Nothobranchius furzeri: one gene and its partner. The protein of the gene in region 1 interacts with the protein of each later gene in a biochemical or structural test. Links are inferred from orthologs where the notes say so. Each region holds a gene or a part of one and is shown in the gene's direction. Other genes may lie near its edges.

Region 1 (6,090 bases):
CGGCACCACGGTGTCAGATAGACCTGTATGAAGAAGTTTGGTCTGTAAGTTAAAAGTTCATTTCTGGTCATTTAGATGAAATATTTGGCCATTTGGTACGCTGCAAAGAGCAAACATGAAAACGGCTCACTTTACCTAAACATCAGATACCTTTTAAAAATCTTCTATACCTGTGTTTCTGACCTGACCCTAATCCCCACGTTGTGTTCCAGGTTCTGCCTCCAGTACCAAAGAGGGGAATGCCTCCAGCCTTCAGCCTGAGTGGATCTCTGCCTGAAACGACACCACATCCTAGTGAAACCCAGTTTGAGTCCAACAAAGCTCAGAGACTCAGAACCAACCCAACTCAAAAGATCAATGGGGATTTGTTTAGACCTTTAGAATTGGAATGTCCCGATCTGACCCAGGTGGAGACCAGGAGCCAGTCTCTGCCTTACCTGGGCACCAAAGTGGAGGAGGAGGAGGCATACTCCAACCAGTTAAGCAGCCTCTCCCTTCAAGCACCTTCTTCTCCAAAAAGGGTCACCTGTCAAACCTACTCCCTCCACGCCCCCGAAGGAGATCTGAGAAGTTTCATGTCAGAGCAGCAGATCAGAAACCAGGACCAGCTGAGGTCTAACCCTCTGTACGAGCCCTCCAGGGTACCTGGAGAAAGTGCAGCTCAGCGGCGGGGTGTCATGTACGCTGAGGTTTCTAAGGGTTCAGCACCAACTACGCAGACAGAAGACACCTATGAGCTGGTCCCTGGAGAGGCCACTGAAGTCCAAAGCAACACCTACGAGTCTCTGGAGGACATGAAGACTAAGAAACCCAAAAGCACCTGGGGCAAAAATGTAAGATGCAACGTCATGTGCTGGTTTTTATTACAGAGAGTAAATAAATAATCTGACGTTTTTTTTTAAATAATTTTGTCTCTACAGAACATAAAATGGAGGAACTTCTTAAAGAAATAAATATATCTTGTGGAGTTTCTCAAGTTCGGGGCTTCCTCCTGACGTCAGGAGACTTCATTCAGAATCTCTAAGAGATGAAAATAAAAACAGGCCTCCTGGAGTGAGATTCATACCTGCATGATCAATTATGGGGTGAAAAGAGGGGGATACTGACCACCACAAATTACAGCAGGCCCAGAAAATCCTCCCTGTTATCTTATAGCAGGGGTGGTCCCGATAGCCAGCATGATTTAGTTGTTTCCCTGCTTCAACACACCTGGTTGTAATCAGCAGGTGATTAACAGGCTTTTACGGAGCCTGAGGAGCTTCTGAACAGGTGATTCAACCACTGAATTATGTAGAGTATAGAGGAACAACGAAAACATGGATACCGCCCTTTGGAGACCAGGATTGAGAACCAATGTCTTAGAAGATTAAACTCTTGTGGATCAAATGACATTATCCTACATGTTCACATGTATAGGCTATGCTGGGCTACTATAGTGAGCTTAATATCTGTATTGTTTATTTTGGGACTGAAGGACATGGGACACTAGCCCCAGAAGCCCTTCAACCCCTCCATCCTAGAAGTGTTGAGATTTAGTTATGCAAAATGGTAAATGGCCTGTGGCGCCTTCTAGGATTCTAAAACCCCCCAAGGCACTTTACAACGAACCAGCCATTCACCCATGCACACACACATTCACATGCTGGTGATGGTGAGCTACAATGTAGCCACAGCTGCCCTGCTACAGCGAGATGTGCAGGTCACTTTAACTAACTGAAGAGATAAACACTCAGGTTAGCATCATTTTTATACTTTATTCATAGCCTAATTATACTGTTATTAATGAATGTATTGATGCCTAAAAATAAATAACTTTTAAGTTTGAAATCACTTTATTTATTTGACACTTGGTGAGCATACAGTATTCTACATTTAATGAAAAAATAATGTATTTATGAGTTTTAAGGCCTCCAAATTAATGTCTTCCTCAATATGCGCGTTCCCGTAACAATGCATGCAAATGTCTCGGCTGGCATTTTCGGTACACACACCTCCAGGTTGCGCTCCGTCCTGTGGCCGCTGGGGGGCAGAGTATCCGCTGCATTCCGCTGTCAGGATTCCAGCGAAGAAGAAACTATCTCCCATCTAATTCCCGTCGGACAGTAAAATCTCGTCTTTTCTGTTTTAACAAAATCATTTTTGGACCCGCTCTCCAGTGTTGGGACGATGGGCACCAGAGATGATGAATACGACTATTTATTCAAAGGTAAAGCGGTGTTTGTTGTTATTTGGCAGGCTAGGCGGTGGAGCTAACGGAACCGCCGTCAGCCTTTTGTGTTCGGGTCTCAACAAACTTCTCTGACGTGAGTCAGCGCGTTGAATCGGTTTTCCGAACTCCCGACGAACCATGTCTGACTCGTTCGGGTAGGAAATTGTTCATCCGGTGCTTGTTGTTCGTGCTAAAGCGCATCTTGGTTCGGGATAGCGGTTAGCTCGGGTTAGCCTGCCGACAGCCAGCGGGACACACCTAGACCTAACATGATCAGATCCTCCTGATGCGATCCGGACCGATCTGCCAGCAGCACCGTTAACGGGCCCGAGACGACGTTTAACAGCAAATTCAGAGCCCGAGGCAGAACCGGGCTGGTCCAGCTGAGGTGAAACTGGACGAAAAACTCTTAACTGCTTTATTGATCAGGTTATTAATATCAGATTATTGATCAGGTTGTTCATCTGTGGGTTATTTATATTCCACTCTCACGTGAGCTTCCGGTTTCGTATTCTCACATTTCTTCCACTAACCTCCTGTTTTCCCGAGAGTTTTAACTTCATTTATCAGTTTATAAAAACACCAAATCCTGAAAGGAGCAGAATCACCAAAGAGAACATAAAATAATCAAGTATCATTAAAATAACTCCTGAATAAGAAGTAAAACGGTTGTATTTGTCTTTTTCAACCCCCCCCCCAAGCGATTTATTTTAGTGCATCTTAGTTAAAATTGAAATATTCTGCTTAAAACTGTCAATGTTGTCAGGTAAAAACTCTGCACTGCATTCAAATTTAAATCTGCCATCGCTATTGGCTGAGAAGTACACTATGATGTCAGCTGGTACATTATGAGATCACAATGTTGTTGGCCTTGTTCGAGTTGAGCAGCGCCTCGCTTGGAAAACAGATGAAAGCAGACGGATGCAGCAGGGGGAGTGGCTGAAAGCCGGCGTTTAATGCCTGATTCATGCTCCTCCATCTGCGTCAGTGCTGAGACACGCAACGTCAGAGAGCTCCGCGAGGACGGACGGAGTCGAGCTCTCTTTTCTAAACATCCGTCAGTCGAGACGGAGAACGCAAGCTTGTGATTGGTCAGGACGCCGCTGTTGTCTACAGCGCCGCCATTGCGCCCTCAAAAACATAAAGAGAGCCGAGGATAACTAGTGGCAGACACGGAGCAGCTTGAAGAATACCTCGCGAAAAAACTCTAAAATATGAATGTTTAATTCCCCAGTGACAGGAGGAGTGAAAAGATGCGCAGCAAGCGTTTTATTAGTGGATGGAAATGACAGGAAACGTGGGTTTAGAGGTGGCGAGCGCATGAAGAGGTGGAGGAGAATGAGAGACAAATTTGTCTGTTAAAAAGTCTCTTATATACAAAAAAACATAATATAAACACACCATCTTGGACCGGATGCATGACAGGATACCACAGAACAGCCTACGTCCTCTGTTGTCCTGCTGGGGAATTGCTTTGCAACACTCTCCAGGAGACGGAGAAGTATGAGAGCAAAACGCTTCCGTCAATCCGTGCGTGTCTGTCCTTTGCGGAGCTGACGGAGAAGCATGAACCAGGCTTAAGATGATCAAATTTCCCTACATGTAGCTCGCAGGTGATGATGGATAAAGATATCACATTCATTCATACTTGTTTAATTTGTAATTAAAGTTCTGGTGCTTGTTAGCAACTGAAACACATCCTGACAATATCATGTAATGTTGACATGTGCATATGAAGTAATAATAAGTAAAGGTTAGCAGCTGTAGAGTTTTAGTGTGCTCATAGGAAATGTGACAATAAAAACACAAATCACATTTCTCTTTATGGCCTATATAGTTGTCATCTTAGATCAGGTGAGAGCGAGGCGTTTCCTGTCACGCCCTAGGTTTTGCAACCGGCGGAGAGCAACTGCAGCGCCTTGCTCCAAAATCTGCGGCCGCCTTGATCTCACGAGGTTATCGTTGCCTACGTAGGCATGACATCAGAGCAAGTCGGCGTCAAGTCAGACACAAATCTAACCAGCATGCACTGCGCGCCGATCACCGGTGATCGAATCTGCGCAGAACTGGATCATCTTGAACACGGCCAATGTGAGCCTGTGTGTGTGTGTGTTAGCGGCTCTGCCCTTTCGGTCTGCCAGGCAGCAGCATTTTTTAAACAGGAAATGGGAGTGGAGTGAGACTCTGGTAGGGGTGACTTGCTCTTTAACATGGCACCTGTCAGTGGACGGGGCCAAGGGGGTGGGACTCCTAACATCCTGATAAAACGATCCCGCTCCTATGTATTTTAGACCAGATTTTTATGGTTATATGTTACAAAGCAACAACTGGGAATTATTTCATTCATTTTCAACAACATTTTGATGGATATTTCCTGAAATTTATGGTAAAAACTTCAAATTGTCTCTTTAAAAAATATTGAGTAAAAAACGCCCAGAGACAAATAAAAAAATATAAATAAATTACGGGTGCACCAATTGCAGTTTTTGGCTGATCACTGTTCACCAATCTTGAAAAAAATAAAAACAGACTTGCTGATACTGATTTTTGTCTCAACTAAAAGCAGATTATGTCAATGTTTCAATTTCCTTTTATTGTGAAAACCAACATGAATACTCATGAAACAATACCATTTTCAACTGGACATGAGGTAATGCTCTCAAGTAGGGATGCAATGATACCACTTTTTTCCAAAACGATACGATGTCGATACTTGGATCTGAGTACTCCCCGATCCCGATTACCAATACCGATACTTCTACCAAACAAAAAAAATGCGATGATTTGGAATACAGATTTGATTTTCAACAGGAAAAGTTTGTGAAGTAGATAAAAAGTAAAATATATGAATGGAAATCATCACAAAACTAAAATATTAGGTGAACAGAAATGACAAGTTACAGGGAAGCCATTTTCAAGCAACTGCATTGGTATCAGTTCCTGGTATCGGCTAACTTTTACCAATACTGGTATCGGTATTGGTACCAGTATCGTATCGGTGCATCCCTACTTTCAAGCATAAATGAACGTCTTTAGCATTGCTGTTTGAACAACAAAATCATATTTGTTCCTTTAGACTTTCATTTTTCAAAATTTGAAAACAAAACTTTTGTACCCGTTTTCACACGCATGTTCAAAAATTATTCTATAGCAATGATTGGCTTGAAAAGAACCCGAGATTGGGGCCGATAGATTGGTGCACCCCTAAAATAAATGGCTATAATAGAAACTTTTGTACCAGAGCCAGAAAGGTCTAGAACCGCTCCCGGGTTCTGGATGCTTGATGTTGTTCTAAAGGTTCTTTAAGGATAGTGGGTCAGGGAGCACCAATAATCCTGCATCATAAATAAAATAGACATCCATTAGTTTCTCCTCATTCTTGTTACTTGGACTTTAAACTGTTTTTATCTTTATTTCTGCGGTTTTCTAGATTCAGGATGTCTGATGTGTTTCCTTTGTCCTGCTTTGCCTCAGTGGTCCTCATCGGTGATTCGGGTGTAGGAAAGAGTAACCTGCTGTCTCGCTTCACTCGTAACGAGTTCAACCTGGAGAGTAAGAGCACCATCGGGGTGGAGTTCGCCACGCGTAGCATCCAGGTGGACGGCAAGACGGTGAAGGCTCAGATTTGGGACACAGCTGGACAAGAACGTTACCGGGCCATCACATCAGCGTGAGTACAGAACCACAGGTCTGGTTGGGTTGGACCAGCACTGATGTCACACGGAATCGGTTTTAATTTACTATGACAGGATTGGTTATGTTTTGCTGCCTTTACCCCTAATTCCAGAATCTCACTGTGGGTGACTGGCCGGAGACACAAACATGCAAAAATATGCACATTTTCAGATTAAACTGGTCCGTAGACAAGTTTTAGACCTGAC
Region 2 (6,324 bases), on another chromosome or scaffold:
TCAGCTCTACATCGGCTGCCATCCACCCGTTGACTCTCATAACTCCTCCTCAGCCAGGTCATCATCCACACCGAGCGGGATCAGTAATGTTGGACCTGGGCCTTGCAAGCTCACCAACTTGCTGCAGGTTGCCCAAGACAATCCAAGCAACACGTCACGGGCTCCAACAAGCAACAACACAAGCACTAGTACCGACAACCTCACCAAGCCAACAAACAATGTTCTGCCAACTATGAACTCATCAGCACCTGTACATCCTCAGCGAAGGAAAATCAGTAGCAGAACTAAAGGGAACAGTCAGTATTATCATCGGGGTGAGGGCAGAGGCCACTATCGCCTCAAAGCTCTAAGAACTGCTGGAGGTGGCGGTAGTCTAGGAACTTTAGGGCCTACAGGTTTGGAGCACCTCTACTCATCACATGCTGTTTACAAGCAGGCCACGAGTGAGAATGGCAGCATTCACCACAGCCTCTCAGAGAACCAGGCCAGCCTGCTGACAAATGGGAAGCGGGTGGGGGAATCGGTAGCCACTAGCCCCTCCGAGGGAAGTGATGGGGGCAGCAGCGGGAGCCGCAAACCCTTCCCTCTGCTGCCTTCTGCTGCCAGCAGAGTGGCAATGCATGATGCTCAGAGACGATGCTCCAGCAGAGACAATTTAAGAGCATCTGCAGAGCGAGAAACCAAGCGCTGCTCCTACCCTTTGAACAGTGTCACCACCGCTGTGCCGGGGGCCGCTGCCCCAAACGGCACCCTGAAAACCTCTGTGTTAGAGCTTGAGCAGGACGTGAGCAGCACAGACCAGTCCCAGTGCTCTGTTGGGATGAAGAGCGGCTTGTGGAAAAGTGAAACCACAGTGTGAAGCACAGTAGAACATCAATGCATTACCTGAAGAAAAAGACTTGGTTGTGTTCTAATGGTGTCCTAATAATTATATAATTTAAGATATTATCATACCATGGAGGCATCCAGGACCCTAAACTGGTACTTTTGCCTCTGTAGTGTTGTTTGTTTGCTGTGAAACAATATTGTTGTTTTCAATCATAGATTCACTTTTATTTTAATCGCTTTACAAAAAAAAATGTACCAAACATTTTTTGAAGTTGGCATGCATTGTTGCATTTGGTTGTTTAATGAAAGCTTTACTGTTTTAGTTGTAATTTCTCCTATGCAAATCAACTCTAGCATAAAATGGATTACAGTGTAATCCATTCACCAAGTACAGCTATATGCATTTAATCTGAGGGCAAACGTTCATCTGTGAGTTTGCTCTAAGTGATTGTTTATCTATGCTAATATATGTGCATTTATGTTGCTGTGCCTTTGTGTGTGTGTGTGTGTGTGTGTGTGTGTGTGTGTGTGTGTGTGTGTGTGTGTGTGTGTGTGTGTGTGTGTGTGTGTGCGTGTGTGTGTGTGTGTGTGTGTGTGTGTGTGTGTGTGTGTGTGTGTGTGTGTGTGTGTGTGTGTGTGTGTGTGTGTAATAAGAGAAAACTCACGAGTGTGGCTGTACAGAATCCCAGAGTGAATTAAAATTGCTAAGACTTTTGAACTTTCAGAGCTTTCCCTTTTTTCTGATCCAACCTCCATTAAGCCAAAGGGAGAAAAAGAAAGAGGCATGACACTTTGACTACCACCAGAAAACTGACTGTCTCCTATGGACAACAGGAACACCTTCAGTAAAATTTAGGGATTACAAATTGCTTCAAATGAATCCCAATAATTTTTGTGTCATGGCAGTGGTGTTAAAACTTCTCCAAAAATATCAACAAATTAATTATTATGGGGCAGCAGTAGCTCAGGTGGTAGAGCGGGTTGCCTCATGATCGGAGGGTCATGGGTTCAATTCCAGCTCCCGCCAGGGGTATCCTGCTGTTGTGTCCTTGGGCAAGAAACTTCACCCAACTTGCCTGTGCTAGAGGTGGTCAGAGGGGCCGACGTCGCCAAATGGCAGCCTCGCCTCTGTCAGACCTCCCCAGGGCGGCTGTGGCTACAAGCAGCCTACCATCACTAGCAGTGTGTGAAAGCGTCTTTGGGGGTCTTGAAAAGCACTATATAAGTTCAATGCATTATTATTATTAATGATAAAAAGGCCACGCATCTGTTGTTTTACCAGAAAACTTTGTCTGTGGTAACTTGCATAGACCAATGATGTACTTCTGCTTTTAAACTGTCTGATACACCAGCAATTTAGGAAATTACTCAAAAAGGAAATAACATTTACACCAACAACACGCTGTCTTAGTTTTCCCCTATTGTTCTTTACTGCAATCTGGTAATGTTGTGTGTTTAAACATGTTCAGTCTGTTTCACTGCCATTCCCAACCAGGAAGTTACTGTGACTCATTTTCTAATGGAAACCTATTTTAGGCTCTGACAGACTTGTTTTGTCCATGATTCAGAATAACTAATACAGTTTGTCCAAAATGTTTAATTTTATCTGGGTCTTTTTTTAGAAACCATGATTAGATGAATTTCTTATTCCTTATAGATAAAAGGCCGGTTTCATTCAAAATTATTGTGTTAAACTGCTTGACACATTGGATCATTCTGTCTTCTGTCTTCTGTGTACTGAGAGTACACAACCAGTCCAACCAAACTCTGAGAAATGTGATGGGATTTAATTTTATTCTGGATCATTTCGCACTTTTGTAATTTTCCATAACGTCATGTTGGAATTGGAACATATCCAGCTAAGAAATAAGAAATTATAAATATAAATATCTTATTAGTGTGTACTTTGTTACTTTCACGACTTTATACTGATTCCAGATAAGTATTTAATAAAACAAATTAACGGTGCGCAATTTCGTACGCCCTCCTATTAAGCGACCAATCACAGCTCGACTTTGAGAAACTGACAAAACCATCAACCAATCAGCGAGGTCAATACAGAGTATGGGTGGGAACCCCCGTAACCTCAGGGAAGTGAACTGTGAAACTTGGTGGGGGAGTAGACGAAGTTGTGTTTATGAAAGCTAAACTTGTGACGGTTTGGTCATGTTTTGTTTGTCTCACTCAGGCTAATATTAGCGATAAGGTTGTTAACAGACTTTTTATCAAACCGATGTTATTAGGGGCCTCCGAACGGTGAACTATTGCGACGTTAAATTTAGCTTCCTGAACTGAAGCTGAACGCTGAGTAACCAGAGGCCAGCAGCCTATCAGGACACCGAAGGTGACGAACCTACCTCAGGGAAGGGTTGATAAACATTAGTGGCTGGGATAACATTGTTTGGTTCACGTTCACGGACTTTTGACGATGTCTCTGCTCGGTCAGAGCCAGCAGTTGTTCCCTACGAGTGTCCGGGTAACGGTGCGTCAGGCTCGGAACCTGCGGGTCAAGGGCAAGAATGGCACCAACGACGCCTATGCCATCATCCAGGTGGCCAAGGATAAGTTCTCCACCTCGGTGGCAGAGAAATGTGTGGCTCCGGTGTGGAAGGAAGAGGCTTCGTTCGACCTGCCGCTCTTCCACCCGGAAAACACTGACCGCTGTACGCTGTACATCATCGTGATGCACCGGGCTCAGGTGGGTCTGGACAAATTCCTGGGCCAGGCTGTCATCAACCTGCTGGACCTTTATGACAACAAGTCCCGCAACAAAACAGAGTAAGTCTCCTAAGTTACTCTTGAGTCAAAATTCACATGTATCCAGTTCAAATAACTAGATACTTTTATCTTAGCGATTTTAGTCAGCAGACAACGCTCAGTAGCATATAGATGTTATTATTTAGGGTATTTACAGTATTGGAAAACAGTGGGACTTCTAAACAAACATGAACTTCCTGGTTGTTTTATCTCTCTTTTTTTCATTTACATCTATCTCCCCAATGAGGGGTCACGCATAAACTGAGCTTTAAGCAGGAGGTCTCCTAAAATAACTCTATCCAAATGTGATCCTGGTGTGTTTTACTGTAAAATCCAACAGCTGCATTAAGTTTTTAGACAACTAGCACATTACCATAATAACATATTAATACAGAAGTGGGTTTAATTAGTTACTGTGCTGAAAATTATTACATGAAACATGATACCTGCAATGAAAAGATGATAAACTGGATAAAAACCTGACAAATGCTAAAAATCTTTGTTGAAACAAGCATAGATCAGTCTTAACTTTTACTGAAATCAATGGGACTAAATCAAGGTAGCTGCCGAGATTTTATTTAGAGTTGTTTTAGCCCCTGAGATGTTCATTTCTGAGATGAATTTCCTAAATTAAATAAAGTAAAAACAGGTTAGAAGTTTTGGCTCAAGCCTCCTTCCTCTTGTTAGTTTGTGGTTGGGAGATAAAACAAAAACGTCATCTGTTTTTTCTGTCCTCACTGCCCCAACCCTAACGTTCATCTTAGACTTTTCCTTCAGAATATGGTTTGAAGCCAACATTATCACTGACGCGATGACGGAGGCCTACTCTGGAAACTGCTGACAATCCCACACATTCCTCTGGTTTGTTAGGTGGCTTGGAGTGCATTACTCAAACCCAGATTAGCATGACACACATCAGGGTGACATATGTTGTTTTGACGTAGGGTGTAAAACAGCAATCAAAACAAAGCTTTTAGCGCTAAATGGGGATCTACACACCTTCTTCTGTGAGAGAAAAATATACCCAGCCTAAAATAGATGGAATAGTCTTGGTGTTGCCCTGAGAAAATGTCCCTTAAGTAGTTTTTTTTTTTACAGCAACCTTCGGAAAAAGAGTGAGCTAGAGATTGTGTTGGCTCTCTAATCACCCAGCTAGAACCTGCCATAGTTCTGCAATTACCTCATTTACTTGGTTATGTTTGAGTCTTATCTGACATTTTATCTTTTGTTTGCTCAGTGTGCCTTTATTGCTTTATAGCAAAGTCCAGCTCCTTTTGTCCTTGCCTGTGTTTATCCCTCTGTCTCCTGTGAGATCCAGGATGTTCTCTGGGTTTGGATGTTGGTGCTTTGGCCGTGAGTGTGTGGTGTTCGATTACTGCCCCGATTCTCTACTCTGCTGACACAGGGTGCGACATTCAAGACCTTGTTTTCCTGCTGGCAGGGATCCTTAATGTTCTCTCAACTGTAAAAGATGAAATTTTAGCCTTAAGGCCTTTGTCTTTCATAGAAACAGAGAAGAATGAGACGAGGAGTTCTTTTATTTGTAATGGGAAATTAAATCATGTAGGTATATTCGTATTTCACCTTGTTTTTGAGATTTTTACTTAAATTATTTCCCTTTTTTAAATTATCGTAAAACTTTTAAGCACAAACTTACCTAAGATTATGTGATTACTATTCCTAATAACAATGCTGACATTTACGTTTATAAGGAATTTAATTTAATATTCAAAACCCACAATAACTGTAAATCACAATCTCAAACTGATATGGTATAGTTTGCTTCTGATTGATGTCCTTTTGTCCTAAATGAATCCATCCAAATATTAAAGAGGTTTAGGGAGATAATATTCAAAGGCACCGTGTGTGATATTTGTACTTGTTTACTATCAAATTCTGTGTATTCCTTTCACAAACATGCTCTTTTTTAACAAAAAATTCTCACCAACATATATTTCAAATATTCCTATTAGATTGAAATTTTACATTTTTATTTACATAAATTGTGATCAATACTCCATAGTCATGCTCCATCCTGGAGTACCGTAGCTGTTTAGGGACATACAAGATATAATGCTCGACATTTCGCATTTGTGCTTTGGCATAAAAATTCTTCTTACTCTCTAAGCATTGTGCGGAGATTGTGCTGGATCTCTCCATGACAGTGTTGTTGGTTTGGAGACATTCTGCTTCTTGCTCTTTGGTTGCTTGCCCTGCTCTAACTAAGTGAGATTGCTGGAACGAAATCTGGAAGTTTTTAACTTCTCTGGTGGTGCACGCACGGCTGCAGAGGAGAGGGAGATAAGTGACCCAGAAGACGCAGAGCAAGAAGACAGCTGCTGAAAATGGCGGAAGAGACCCGTTTTACATATATTCACAAGACACGGACAAGGGGTTCTTGATTCCCTGAGAGAGAGAGATCATCAGAACAGCAGAAAATGTAAAATAACTTGCAGACTATTGAAAGCTGGTGTGTGGTGGTTTCTGTGTGTGACCCCCGATGTAGCTGTCTGAGCTACAGTGTCTCCTCTCCCCCGCAGCCATGCATGCATCACCACAATAAAACGTTGCATTTTTAATGCCTGTGAGCTATTTTAGATGCTATATCTACTCTGGGCTGCTAGAGATTAGAATGTTTTTACACACTGTGCTTTGAATGTGATTAATGAAAAGACTGTTTTTTAAATAAACTACACTGTTTGACAAGCCAGGTTCAGTAGGACTACAAATTTAATACCT

The links.
Region 2: the proteins of rab11a (region 1) and rab11fip1a form a complex in vitro, tested with the Homo sapiens proteins (2 studies listed by BioGRID, with this or other methods). The link is inferred for Nothobranchius furzeri from reciprocal best matches to the Homo sapiens genes RAB11A and RAB11FIP1.

The regions. Positions count from the first base shown.
Region 1 is NC_091749.1:66,766,738-66,772,827, reverse strand, and holds the start of rab11a (ras-related protein Rab-11A), read left to right. Parts: upstream 1-2,041; 5' UTR 2,042-2,166; coding exon 2,167-2,206; intron 2,207-5,683; coding exon 5,684-5,879; intron 5,880-6,090. Other genes in the region: SH2 domain-containing protein 7, read left to right, coding at 213-884. UniProt on the Homo sapiens protein: The small GTPases Rab are key regulators of intracellular membrane trafficking, from the formation of transport vesicles to their fusion with membranes.
Region 2 is NC_091757.1:39,987,110-39,993,433, forward strand, and holds the start of rab11fip1a (rab11 family-interacting protein 1), read left to right. Parts: upstream 1-2,881; 5' UTR 2,882-3,256; coding exon 3,257-3,606; intron 3,607-6,324. Other genes in the region: adgra2 (adhesion G protein-coupled receptor A2), read left to right, coding at 1-859. UniProt on the Homo sapiens protein: A Rab11 effector protein involved in the endosomal recycling process. Also involved in controlling membrane trafficking along the phagocytic pathway and in phagocytosis. Interaction with RAB14 may function in the process of neurite formation.